Linked DNA regions of Macaca fascicularis. The protein of the gene in region 1 interacts with the protein of each later gene in a pairwise test. Links are inferred from orthologs where the notes say so. Each region holds a gene or a part of one and is shown in the gene's direction. Other genes may lie near its edges. The genes, in order: OSGIN1, CAPN3 and BCAR3.

Region 1 (3,592 bases):
TGTCACAGCGTTCAAAACCATCCTTTTACGTGGCCTCACAATATTCCCAAAGGCGGGTGAGCATCCCCAGTCCGGCAAATCACCAAATGCTTATTATGTGCCAGGCCTTGGGCTTAGACATCAGAGCACAAAACCACCGCAGACACACCCCCTGCCCTCACGGCGCTGCCAAGGTTACCCAGCCCCTGCCAGCCCTGGAGCGTTCATTCTTTCCATTGTGTCATTATTATAAATAACTCCGCACAGAACATGCTCTTGGGACCGTTCTGTATCACAACCTTTACAAAAACTGAGAAAAGGAGAATGGCGGCCCACAGAGATAAATTCCAGGGTCACAGACGAGCTGCGCTGGGTTGACTGGCACGGCCTTGGAGGTCCATTGTCAGCTCCTGCTACATGTAGCCAGACAGCAGGTGGCACAGGATTCTCCCATAAGGGAGTTCATCCTGAACCATGAGCCCACAAGCTGGGTAAATTAACTCATCTAAGGTCACACAGTGAGATACAGGAAGGTGCTAGGATGATGCCAAAGCCTGTCATTCAACCCCCACAAGAATGGGCCTGCAGTCACTGCCCCTGGAAAGAGTGACAATTAAAACAGCAACAACAATAATAAAATACCTCCTGCTGCTGTGTGGGCTGGGAATGATGGCGAGTGCCTCACGTGGGAGTCTTTAAATCAACTTTTAAATTGACTACATATGGGCCGGGTGCAGTGATGCGAGCCTGTAATCCCAGCACTTTGGGAAGCCGAGGCCGGTGGATCACTTGAGGTCAAGAGTTCGAGACCATCCTGGCCAACACGGCAATACCCTATCTCTAATAAAAATACAAAAATTAGCCAGGCTTGGCGCTGCATGCCTGTAGTCCCAGCTACTCAGGAGGCACAGGCATGAGAATCGCTTGAGCCCAGGAAGCGGGGGCCAAAGTAAGCTGAGATCACGCCACGGCACTCCAGCCTGGGCAGCAGAGTGAGACTCTGTCTCAAAAAATAATAATAAAATAAAATTTAAAAAATTAGCTACATATAGAAAAGTACGTAACTCCTGTGAGTACCGGTTGATGAAATTTCTCAAGGTAAGCACAGAGAATCAAGAAACCGACCTTCTTCCCAGAAGCCCCCATGCCCTTTCCGAGCAGGACCCCCTTCCCCATCCCCGGAGGTAACCCCTCTCTTGATGACCAACTCCATAGATGAGTTCTGCCTGTTTCTGAACTATATAAAAACGGAATCATACCATATTTAATCCTTTGAGGTGACAATCATGGTGGCCCATCCTAAGCCCTTTGTTTTTATCGGCTCACCAAATCCTCTCCACAACCTCACGAAATAGGTCCTGCCACCAACATCTTCCTCATTTTGCAAACTGGGGAAACAGACACAGCTCCCTGATGGCAGAGTCAGGATTCGAGCCCAGGCAGTGTGGCTCTGGAGGCTGCACTCTGAACCCCGCCCTACACCACCCTACACTACCCTATACCACCTCTCCTGAGGGAGGTACCCTTGTTAGCTCCATTTTACAGAAGAGGAGACTGAGGCTTGGAGAGGTTGAATTACCTGGCCCAGTCCTACAGCTACAGCCTAGTCCAGCTCCAGGGCCTGATACCGCCCTGGACCTCTCCCATCCCACCCAGCCCCCCAACCCTTAACAGTGTCTGACTCTGGCCTCCTGCATCCTCCCCAACAGAGGCCTTCGCAACAGCCGGGCCACGGCCGGGGACATTGCCCACTACTACAGGGACTACGTGGTCAAGAAGGGTCTGGGGCATAACTTTGTGTCCGGTGCTGTAGTCACAGCCGTGGAGTGGGGAACGCCCAATCCCAACAGCTGTGGGGCCCAGGACTCCAGCCCCCTCTTCCAGGTGAGCGGCTTCCTGAGCAGGGACCAGGGCCGGCAGCCCTTCTCGCTGTGGGCCCGCAACGTGGTCCTCGCCACAGGCACGTTCGACAGCCCAGCCCGGCTGGGCATCCCCGGGGAGGCCCTGCCCTTCATCCACCATGAGCTGTCCGCTCTGGAGGCGGCCACAAGGGTGGGTGCGCTGACCCCAGCCTCGGACCCTGTCCTCATCATTGGCGCGGGGCTGTCAGCGGCTGATGCAGTCCTCTACGCCCGCCACTACAACATCCCCGTGATCCATGCCTTCCGCCGGGCTGTGGACGACCCTGGCCTGGTGTTCAACCAGCTGCCCAAGATGCTGTACCCTGAGTACCACAAGGTGCATCAGATGATGCGGGAGCAGTCCATCCTGTCGCCCAGCCCCTACGAGGGTTACCGCAGCCTCCCCGGGCACCGGCTGCTGTGCTTCAAGGAAGACTGCCAGGCCGTGTTCCAGGACCTCAAGGGTGTCGAGAAGGTGTTTGAGGTCTCCCTGGTGCTGGTCCTCATCGGCTCCCACCCCGACCTCTCCTTCCTGCCTGGGGCAGGGGCTGACTTTGCAGTGGACCCTGACCAGCCACTGAGCACCAAGAGGAACCCCATTGACGTGGACCCCTTCACCTACCAGAGCACCCGCCAGGAGGGCCTGTACGCCATGGGGCCGCTGGCCGGGGACAACTTCGTGAGGTTTGTGCAGGGGGGAGCCCTGGCTGTGGCCAGCTCCCTGCTAAGGAAGGAGACCAGGAAGCCACCCTAACACCCGGCCAGACCTGCTGGCTCCCAGGCCCTGAGAGGACAAAGATGACCACATCTCTGCTGGATGTAGGGTCCGTCCAAAGATGCCCCAGGGAGGGGCGTCAGCCCACATAGCTGACCTTTGGGGTCAAGAGGAGTAGGGATCCCAGTGTCTGAGGTGGTAACAGTGGCCGCAGGCCAGGGTCGGCCTAGACCTAGGATTTGGGGGTAAAGCTGCTGGTGTGAGCTGGGATCACCAGGACCAGCTGAGCACCCAGCAGGAGACCTGCAGGCCTGCGCCTTCCAGAAGCAGGTCCCAAATAAAGCCAGTGCCCACCTGCACTCATGCGTCTGAGGACTCTGTGCTCAGGGAAGGAGCTGTGTTCCCGGGACCCTGCACTGGGCTCGGGGGAAGGGAGGGAAGGCGATTGGGGGAGGAGTCCTGGGGCATGTGGTCCTGGATGAGGTCCATGACTGGGGCCTTGGGGTACAAAGGATGGTGCCCCAAGTGTGGGAGCAGTTGAGCGGGCAGCTGTACTACAGCCTGGGGGTGGCAGTGGCGGGTGTGTGCAGGGAGTGGTGTCCCGGAGGGCACTGCAGTTCTGCCCCCCCCCCCCCCGCAGTCTGTCCCCTCTCCTCTCTGTTCTGCCACGTGGCTTCCTTTCAGTCCCTCCTGCTGGCCAGGTCCCTGCCTGCCGCAGGGCCTTTGCACAGAGGGTCCCCAGCCCAGGACAGTTTCCCGCCTTTCTTTAATTCCTCTTCCTTGGGGTCTCTCAGGGTAAGAATCACTTCCTCTAGGAAGCCTCTTCTGACACAAATCCCTCCACTGCCATCGCAGCAAAGACTCCTCTCATGGTCCAAGGTGCTACCTTTTCATAGCAGTTCAGTTTTTATTTTTCTATTTTTTTGAGACAGAGTCTCATTTTGTTGTCCAGGCTGGAGTGCAGTGGTGCTTGGTTCACTACAACCTCTGCTTCTGA
Region 2 (4,411 bases), on another chromosome or scaffold:
AACTCACCTAAAGTTACACAGGCACAGCCAGTAAAGGGCCAACCTAGACTTTGAACTGAGGTGGTCAGCCACCAGAGACCGCTGTCCTCTATTCTGCCTCTCCAAGACTAGTAAAGAGCCCTGGGCGTTTTCCTGGAGGAACAGAAGGCTAGGCTGATGGTTCCTGCAAGCCCAGACATAAGAGTTCTTCAATGCCGCAATCCCAGGGATCAGGAGGCTGATAGTACTCCCTATTTTACCTGTCACTTCCCACCTTCTTCCATAGCCTCTAATCTTCGATTATTGAGACTGGTCGCATAGGAACAGGCATGACTACAGCCTAGGACATGCCTCCACTCTGCCATACTTGAAATGTGGTCATCTCCTTACAGCCCAGGGAGCAGCTGTTGTGGGTAGAAGACAAGGTGGAGGCCAGGCAGGCACTTCCCTTCCCCAGAGCCACTTATGCTCTCATCTAAGAGCCCTGAAACCAGGTGTGACATCCCAGGGCTTGACAGGCAGTCTGGTTCAGTATCCAGTTCCAGCTTCTGTCTCAGATGCCTAATGTGGCATGGCTGAATGAGTCAACATGTAACCTATACAGTAAGTCCTCACTTAACATCGTTGATAGGTTCTTGTAAACTGTGACTTTAACCAAAACAAGCTTACTAGAACCTATTGATGACACTGGGGATTTACTGTGCTCAGGTGCACTTTTTTTTTTTAAGATGGAGTCTCGTTCTGTCACCCAGGCTGGAGTACAGTGGCGCAATCTGGGTTCACTCCAACCTCTGCCTCCTGGGTTCAAGCGATTCTTCTGTCTCAGCCTCCCAAGTAGCTGGGATTACAGGCACCCACCACCATGCCTGTCTTATTTATGTGTTTTCACTGGTTTCACTATTGTTGGCCAGGCTGATCTCGAACTCCTGACCTCATGTGATCCACCCGCCTCGGCATCCCAAAGTGCTGAGATTACAGATGTGAGCCCCCGCGCCCGGCAGGTACACTTTTTATAGCAGATTCAGTCCCAGTGTTTATTTTGGGGATGGGAAGAGACAAGAGGTGGCAAGGTCAAGTCTGCAGGTACAGGCAGGGATTTTCTCAACCAAGGACTCTGCTGAGTAGCATTTTCCATGCAGACATTTCCAATAAACGCTGACCCAAGAACATTCTAGAAAAGATGCCAAATCTAACATTGAATAATGTTCTGATATCCTAAAATTTTAGGACTAAAAATCATGTTCTCTAAAATTCACAGAATATTTTCCTAGAATTCAGTACCTCTCGTTCACCCTAACTAGCTTTTTTGCAATACTGTTTTCCATTCATTTGTTGGCCAGTAGTTGGGTGGTCTGTATAACTGCCTACTCAATAACATGTCAGCAGTTCTCAGCTTCTTTCCAGTGTTCACCTTACTCAGATACTCCCTTTTCATTTTCTGACAACACCAGCACTTCATGGCAACAGAGATGTCCCTAGCCAGGTTCTCCTCTCTCTTGCTCTCATACTCACAGTGTTTCTTCACATCTATTTTTAGTTTTTCTGGCTCAAGCATCTTCAGGCCACTGAAACACAACCCTCACTCTCTTTCTCTCTCCCTCTGGCATGCATGCTGCTGGTAGGAGACCCCAGGTCAACATTGCTTCAGAAATCCTTTAGCACTCATTTCTCAGGAGAACTTATGGCTTCAGAATCACAGCTCGGTTTTTAAGATGGACATAACCTGTACGACCTTCTGATGGGCTTTCAACTTCGAACTGGATGTGGACACTTTTCTCTCAGATGACAGAATTACTCTAACTTCCCCTTTGCAGTTGCTTCCTTTCCTTGAAGGTAGCTGTATCTTGTTTTCTTTAAAAAGCTTTTTCTTCCAAAGCCACTTGCCATGCCGACCGTCATTAGTGCATCTGTGGCTCCAAGGACAGCGGCTGAGCCAAGGTCCCCAGGGCCAGTTCCTCACCCGGCTCAGAGCAAGGCCACCGAGGCTGGGGGTGGAAACGCAAGTGGCATCTATTCAGCCATCATCAGCCGCAATTTTCCTATTATCGGAGTGAAAGAGAAGACATTCGAGCAGCTTCACAAGAAATGTCTAGAAAAGAAAGTTCTTTATGTGGACCCCGAGTTCCCACCGGATGAGACCTCTCTCTTTTATAGCCAGAAGTTCCCCATCCAGTTCATCTGGAAGAGACCTCCGGTGAGTAACTTCCTGCTTACTTGCTGGGTTTTCCCCCCACGGAGGAGTCCTCCCACTCAGCACCTCCGGCAGCTCAGCTGTGCACATGGGCAATGGGGGAAGGATCCTGGCAGCAATTTTGCTGGGCTCTGTCCTTAAGTGTGAAGCAGGGAGGAGAGGAACAGGTCTCAGATATTTCACCAAATCTCAGCAAAATCCAGAGGGAGAGCGGGGGAGGTGGGGCTGATTCTCATGCTCTGACTCTTTCTCTCTGAAAAAAAAAAAAAAAATCTTGCTTTTTATAAAAGTGGTTGGAACTCAGTTTAATTCATCCTGTAAAAATATTCCTTTCTCAGAACAAATTCCAGAGAGCCCAGATCTACCCTTTCATTTTAAATACCTTTCATCTTTGTAAGATCACTTTAGTTTCTCTGGCTAAAATCATGATGTTATTCTTCTTTAATTTACCAGTGGCCATATCTTTCTGAAACATAGCAACCCTAGAAAGAAGAGAGTCATAAGCACGGAATATTTTTTCATGCATAAAATGTTGGGGTTAGAGAGAGAGACCTAGCAATCGTTTTTGTCCACCTACCTCACCTCATAAGCGAGGAGTCAAGGCACACCAGAGCGAAATATATCCAGTGGGCACATGACAGAGCCTGGATTAAAACTTTCTCTTTTAGGAAACTCTCCCAGCCTCTGGGTTTCATTTATAGTGATCACCAGGAGGGAAATCACATTCCCCTGGCTCGCCTCTCTGATCATCCCTCCAGTGTGACTTTTGTTCTTAATTCAAGAAATATTTATTGAGCATCTACTAGTGCCAGCACTGGACAAGCAACTGGGGGGACAGCAGTGAGTAAGAAAAACCAAAATCCAAGCTGTCTTGGAACCTAGGGTCCTGAAGAGAAGATGGGCGTTGAACAAGAGTGACGTTGTCAGGAGACGATGTTCTGGGTGCCACGGGATCATGTGGCAAGGAGAGCTAACCTGGTCCAGGGAGAGAAACCCTTCCTGAGGAAACGATGGCAACCTGACACCTGATACTATTCATTAGTCATGTTTTTCTTTAACCTAAGATGGGCCAGGCGTGGTGGCTCACGCCTGTAATCCCAGCATTTTGGGAGGCCCAGGCTGGAGGATTGCTTAAGCCCAAGAGTTTGAGACCAGCCTGGGCAACAGGGCAAAAATCTATCTCTTTTGTACTAAAAATTCAAAAAATTATCCAGGCACGGTGGCACATGCCTGTGGTCCTACCTACTTGTAGGCTGAGGTGGGAAGATCACTTGAACTCACAAAGTCCGAGGCAGCAGTGAGCTGAGATCACGCCACTGCACTCCAGGCTGGGTGACAGGACTGAGACCCAGTCTCAAACAACAACAACAACAAACCTGAGGTGGAATACTCCACAACCCCATGTATTCCATAGGTGCTCTTCTTGGTTCTATGGTAAGGCCCATAACTGTCCTGCAGGCCTTCAGTTTAGAAGATAACACTGCTCTGCTATCAGAGTAGTTGGACACGTCATAACCCCCTGCTGAAATATCTTCAGTGACATCCCTCTCTCGGCTGCCTTCAGGACAAATCCCCCACTGCCTTCAGGACAAATCCAAACTCCTTAGCCAAGCCATAGGCCCTTCTCAGCTGGTCCCTGCCTACCTATCCAGGCCCATCTCCATCCTCTTTTCGCAGATCCTGACACACCAGCAGTGCTTGGACATTTAGCTGCTCTGTGGTTCCAAGTCTTCTCACACCGGAGGCCTTTGCTCATGCTGTCTGTCTGCCTGGCATGCCCTTTTTGTTCCTGTCTGAAACTCTGCTCAGGTGTCACTTCCTTCAATCTTTCTCATGACTGTTTTCCTCTCACTGAGAGCAGAGACTCTTCCTGTTCATCTTTGAGGCCCACTCACCAAGTTCAGGCCAGTCCCATAGTGGGTACTCAGCTGATGCTGGTGAATGAAAACCCATGCCCGAGGGCCTTGACCGGTGAGACAGGATAGTCCTGCGTTCCCAGGCAGGGAGTTCTTAAAAACCCTTTCTTGTGCCAGACGTGGTGGCTTATGCCTGTAATCCCAGCACTTTGGGAGGCAGAGGTGGGAGCATCACTTGAGCTCAGGAGTTGGAGACCAGCCTGGGCAACATAGTGAGACCCTATCTCTATAAAAAAAAGAAATAAAAGCCCTTTCTCAGAATGGGTAAAATTAAAACCTACAAATACTATTTTCAGTGAAATCATTGGTGAACTTGAGTCACAAG
Region 3 (3,646 bases), on another chromosome or scaffold:
CTCCCCAGCACTCCCTGCCTCCTTTCCTGGTTCACTTTTTCCCTGAGCTTACAACTGGCGTGCATAGCTGTTGGTTATTTATCCTCACTCAAACAGAAGCTCCCACCAAAACCAGGAGCTCCATGAGCTGGGCTCTTCGGTGCCGCTGTCACCACCGCATCCCCTGAGCCTGCAGTGGTTCTTGGCACGAGTAGGTGGTCAATGAACAGTTCTTGAATGAATGATTGGATCTCCTATGAATTTGCTATTTGAAAAACTAAAGAACTGGCCCAAGAAGAGACATAGTAGCATTGTCTTCTGTTGGCCCAGAGAAGTGGGTAGCCATAAGCTTTTAGAAGGAATGTGAATTTGCCTTTCCTACCCCTCACTCACCTTTTTGTCCCAAAGGTGTCGGAAAACCTTGTGCAGCGAGATGGCGACTTCCTAGTTCGTGACTCTCTGTCCAGCCCTGGGAACTTTGTCCTGACCTGTCAGTGGAAGAACCTCGCTCAGCACTTCAAAATCAACCGGACGGTTCTGCGGCTCAGCGAGGCCTACAGCCGCGTGCAGTACCAGTTCGAGATGGAGAGCTTCGACTCCATCCCTGGCCTGGTGCGCTGCTACGTGGGCAACCGCCGGCCCATCTCCCAGCAGAGTGGCGCCATCATCTTCCAGCCCATCAACAGGACGGTGCCCCTGCGGTGCCTGGAGGAGCGTTATGGCATCTCCCCAGGCCAGGCCCGGGAGGGCAGCCTCACCGAGGGAAGGCCAGACGTGACCAAGAGGCTGAGCCTCACCATGGGTGGCGTCCAGGCCCGAGAGCAGAATTTGCCCAGGGGAAACCTCCTCAGGTAGGTCAGGGTCTCCTCCTCAGGACTATGAGGGGCGCCGGGGGTGCCCAAGGTTAGTTAGGCAGATGAAGAATTCATCATGGAACAGAGAAATAAAAGGTGTTAATAGGGATGCTGACTGTTCGCGGAATAGCAGTCATGAGGCAGTGCACGATCAGCTCCTAGCCGAGCAGGGCCAGCAATGAATGGTACAGGAGCTGAGGAAGGATTGTGGGGGCACTTACAGGGGAGACCTTGTGAAGGGGGTAGGCTTAGGCTGGTCTGACGGCTGGGGGAAATTTGGATAGATGCTGTAAAAGGCAGGGGGTGTTCCAGGTGGGAGGCACAGCATGGGCATAAGTGTGGGGACAGAAAATGCCATGAAGAGCTTGCAGTGAGTGTGCTGATGGGGCTGGAACAAAGGGTCTGTGCAAGGGACCCATAGCAGTCGGCTTAGGGAGGTAGCCCCAGCCATATCATGGGGGCCTTAATGCCAGGTGCAGGGCTTTGAGGGAGCTGCACAGATTCAGCATAGTGAACACGGTGTCCTAAGAATAGAAATGGACAGCAATGTACTGGGGGCGAGGAGTGAGACAGGAACAGGAAACCCAGTTACTGAGTCATGGAGGGCCCTGGCTGCAGGAGTGGAGCGAAGGGAGAGTTGAGAGATGCAGGAGCCTGGCCTCCCAGGACTCTTCTGCACGTGGTAGAGTCAGAGGAGGGCACATTGGAGACCACAGGAGTGACCAGGAGGAAGGGCACTGTGGAGGATAAAACACACTTTTTCTTTTTTTTTTTTTTTTTTGAGACGGAGTCTCGCTCTGTCGCCCAGGCTGGAGTGCAGTGGCCGGATCTCAGCTCACTGCAAGCTCCGCCTCCCCGGTTTACGCCATTCTCCTGCCTCAGCCTCCGAGTAGCTGGGACTACAGGCGCCCGCCACCTCGCCCGGCTAGTTTTTTGTATTTTTAGTAGAGACGGGGTTTCACCGTGTTAGCCAGGATGGTCTCGATCTGACCTCGTGATCCGCCCGTCTCGGCCTCCCAAAGTGCTGGGATTACAGGCTTGAGCCACCACACCCGGCCAAAACACACTTTTTCATCTGAGCTGGAAGATGTGGTTTTGTTGAGTGCCAGAGTCCAGCAGCAGTTTTGGGGTCCAGGCGATGAGTTAGGGCTGAAAACTTAAATTAGGGCTTGGTCCACATGGAAAGGGTGGTTCACTTGATGAGAACAGATGAGATGTCTAAGATAGGAGATGCAGAGAGCATGGGGCTGTATTCTGAATCGCAGGGAATGGGGGAAGAGAAGGATTCGGGGCACTTGGTGGAAAATCAGGGCTTCAAATCAGGCCTCCCTGATCCTAGGCACCCAGCTGTCAAATGTCAGCGATGGTGGGCTGCATTTGTATAGGGCCGATCTTTCATGGAGCTCAGAGTCTTTGTGCATATTATCTAAAAGCACTGGGAAAGGAAACGAGAGAAAAGGCAGGCATAAGAACACAGATCCAGTCCAGCCCCTCAGTCACACAGCAGCCTGAGCCGTCTCCCAGCTTCTAATCTTATGCACGTAAACCAACATGTTTTATTCTACTCACTGGTTTTCTTTTTGGTCCATGAGGAAATGTCACAAACTGTCATTTCTATACTGCAAAACTTCGGGAGGAAAATACAGGACTCTGTGTGGAATGCAGATGACAGCTGTGTGCTGCCTGGAGGCTCTGGCACATGCTAGTCAGCATCTGGCTGGGGACCTGGTAGCCAGGCACAAATGCTGGTTCCACACTGGGCAACTGTTCAACCATAGGCAAGCGACTTGACCTTCCTGGGCCTCACCTTCTTTATCTGGAAAGATGGAGCTTGTGAGGTGTACATGATTTAATATATGCAAAGTGCTCAGAACAGTGCAGGCACATAGGAGATGCTAGGGAAATGCTCGTGATAATTATTATCTGGAGGGGAGCAGAATGTCAGACTCAGACCCAGCACAGTGGCTCACAACTGTAATCCCAGCACTTTGGGAGAATAAGGTAGGCAGATTGCCTGAGCTCCGGAGTTCGAGACCAGCTTGGGCCACATGGCATAACCCCATCTCTACAAAAAATATGAAAATTAATATAAGGAGTTCAAACAACTCTATAGGAAAAAATCTAATAATCTGATTTTAAAAATGGGCAAAAGATTTGCTCTTTTGAGAAATGGGTATTTCTCAAAAGAAGACATACAAATGGGCTGGGCATGGTGGCTCACGCCTGTAATCCCAGCACTTCGGGAGGCTGAGGCAGGTGGATTACCTGAGGTCAGGAGTTCAAGACCAACCTGGCCAACATGGAGAAACTCCATCTCTACTAAAAATGCAAAAATTAGCCAGGTGTGGTGGTGCATGCCTGTAGTCCCAGCTATTAGGGAGGAGAATTGCTTGAACTCAGGAGGCAGTGAGCCGAGATCATGCCGCTGCAGTGGCAAACAGGCATATGAAAAGGTGCTCAACGTGGTCATCAGAGAAATGTAAATCAAAACTATAACGGATATCACCTTACCCCAGTTAAAAAGGCCTATATCCAAAAGACGGGTAATAACAAATGCTGGTGAGGATTGTGGAGAAAAGGGAACCGTCTTACACTGTTGGTGGGAATGTAAATTAGTACAGCCACCATGGAGAACAGTTTGGAGGTTCCTCAGAAAACTAAAAATTGAGCTACTATATGATCCAGCAATCCCACTGCTGGGTATATACCCAGAAGAGTGGAAATCAAAGAGATATATCAAAGAGATAACCTGCACTATGTTTGTTGCAGCACTGTTTACAATAGCTCAGATTGGGAAGCAGCCTAAGTGTCCA

The links.
Region 2: the proteins of OSGIN1 (region 1) and CAPN3 interact in binary tests that used the Homo sapiens proteins (3 or more experiments, as listed by UniProt). The two-hybrid records come from large-scale screens. The link is inferred for Macaca fascicularis from reciprocal best matches to the Homo sapiens genes OSGIN1 and CAPN3.
Region 3: the proteins of OSGIN1 (region 1) and BCAR3 interact in binary tests that used the Homo sapiens proteins (3 or more experiments, as listed by UniProt). The link is inferred for Macaca fascicularis from reciprocal best matches to the Homo sapiens genes OSGIN1 and BCAR3.

The regions. Positions count from the first base shown.
Region 1 is NC_088394.1:79,837,271-79,840,862, forward strand, and holds the end of OSGIN1 (oxidative stress-induced growth inhibitor 1), read left to right. Parts: intron 1-1,688; coding exon 1,689-2,634; 3' UTR 2,635-2,954; downstream 2,955-3,592. UniProt on the Homo sapiens protein: Monooxygenase catalytic activity. Involved in regulation of cytokinesis; promotes RHOA activity, probably acting locally at the midbody in late cytokinesis.
Region 2 is NC_088381.1:18,956,225-18,960,635, forward strand, and holds the start of CAPN3 (calpain-3), read left to right. Parts: upstream 1-1,560; 5' UTR 1,561-1,864; coding exon 1,865-2,173; intron 2,174-4,411. UniProt on the Homo sapiens protein: Calcium-regulated non-lysosomal thiol-protease. Proteolytically cleaves CTBP1 at 'His-409'. Mediates, with UTP25, the proteasome-independent degradation of p53/TP53.
Region 3 is NC_088375.1:140,814,842-140,818,487, forward strand, and holds part of BCAR3 (breast cancer anti-estrogen resistance protein 3 homolog), read left to right. Parts: intron 1-387; coding exon 388-830; intron 831-3,646. UniProt on the Homo sapiens protein: Acts as an adapter protein downstream of several growth factor receptors to promote cell proliferation, migration, and redistribution of actin fibers.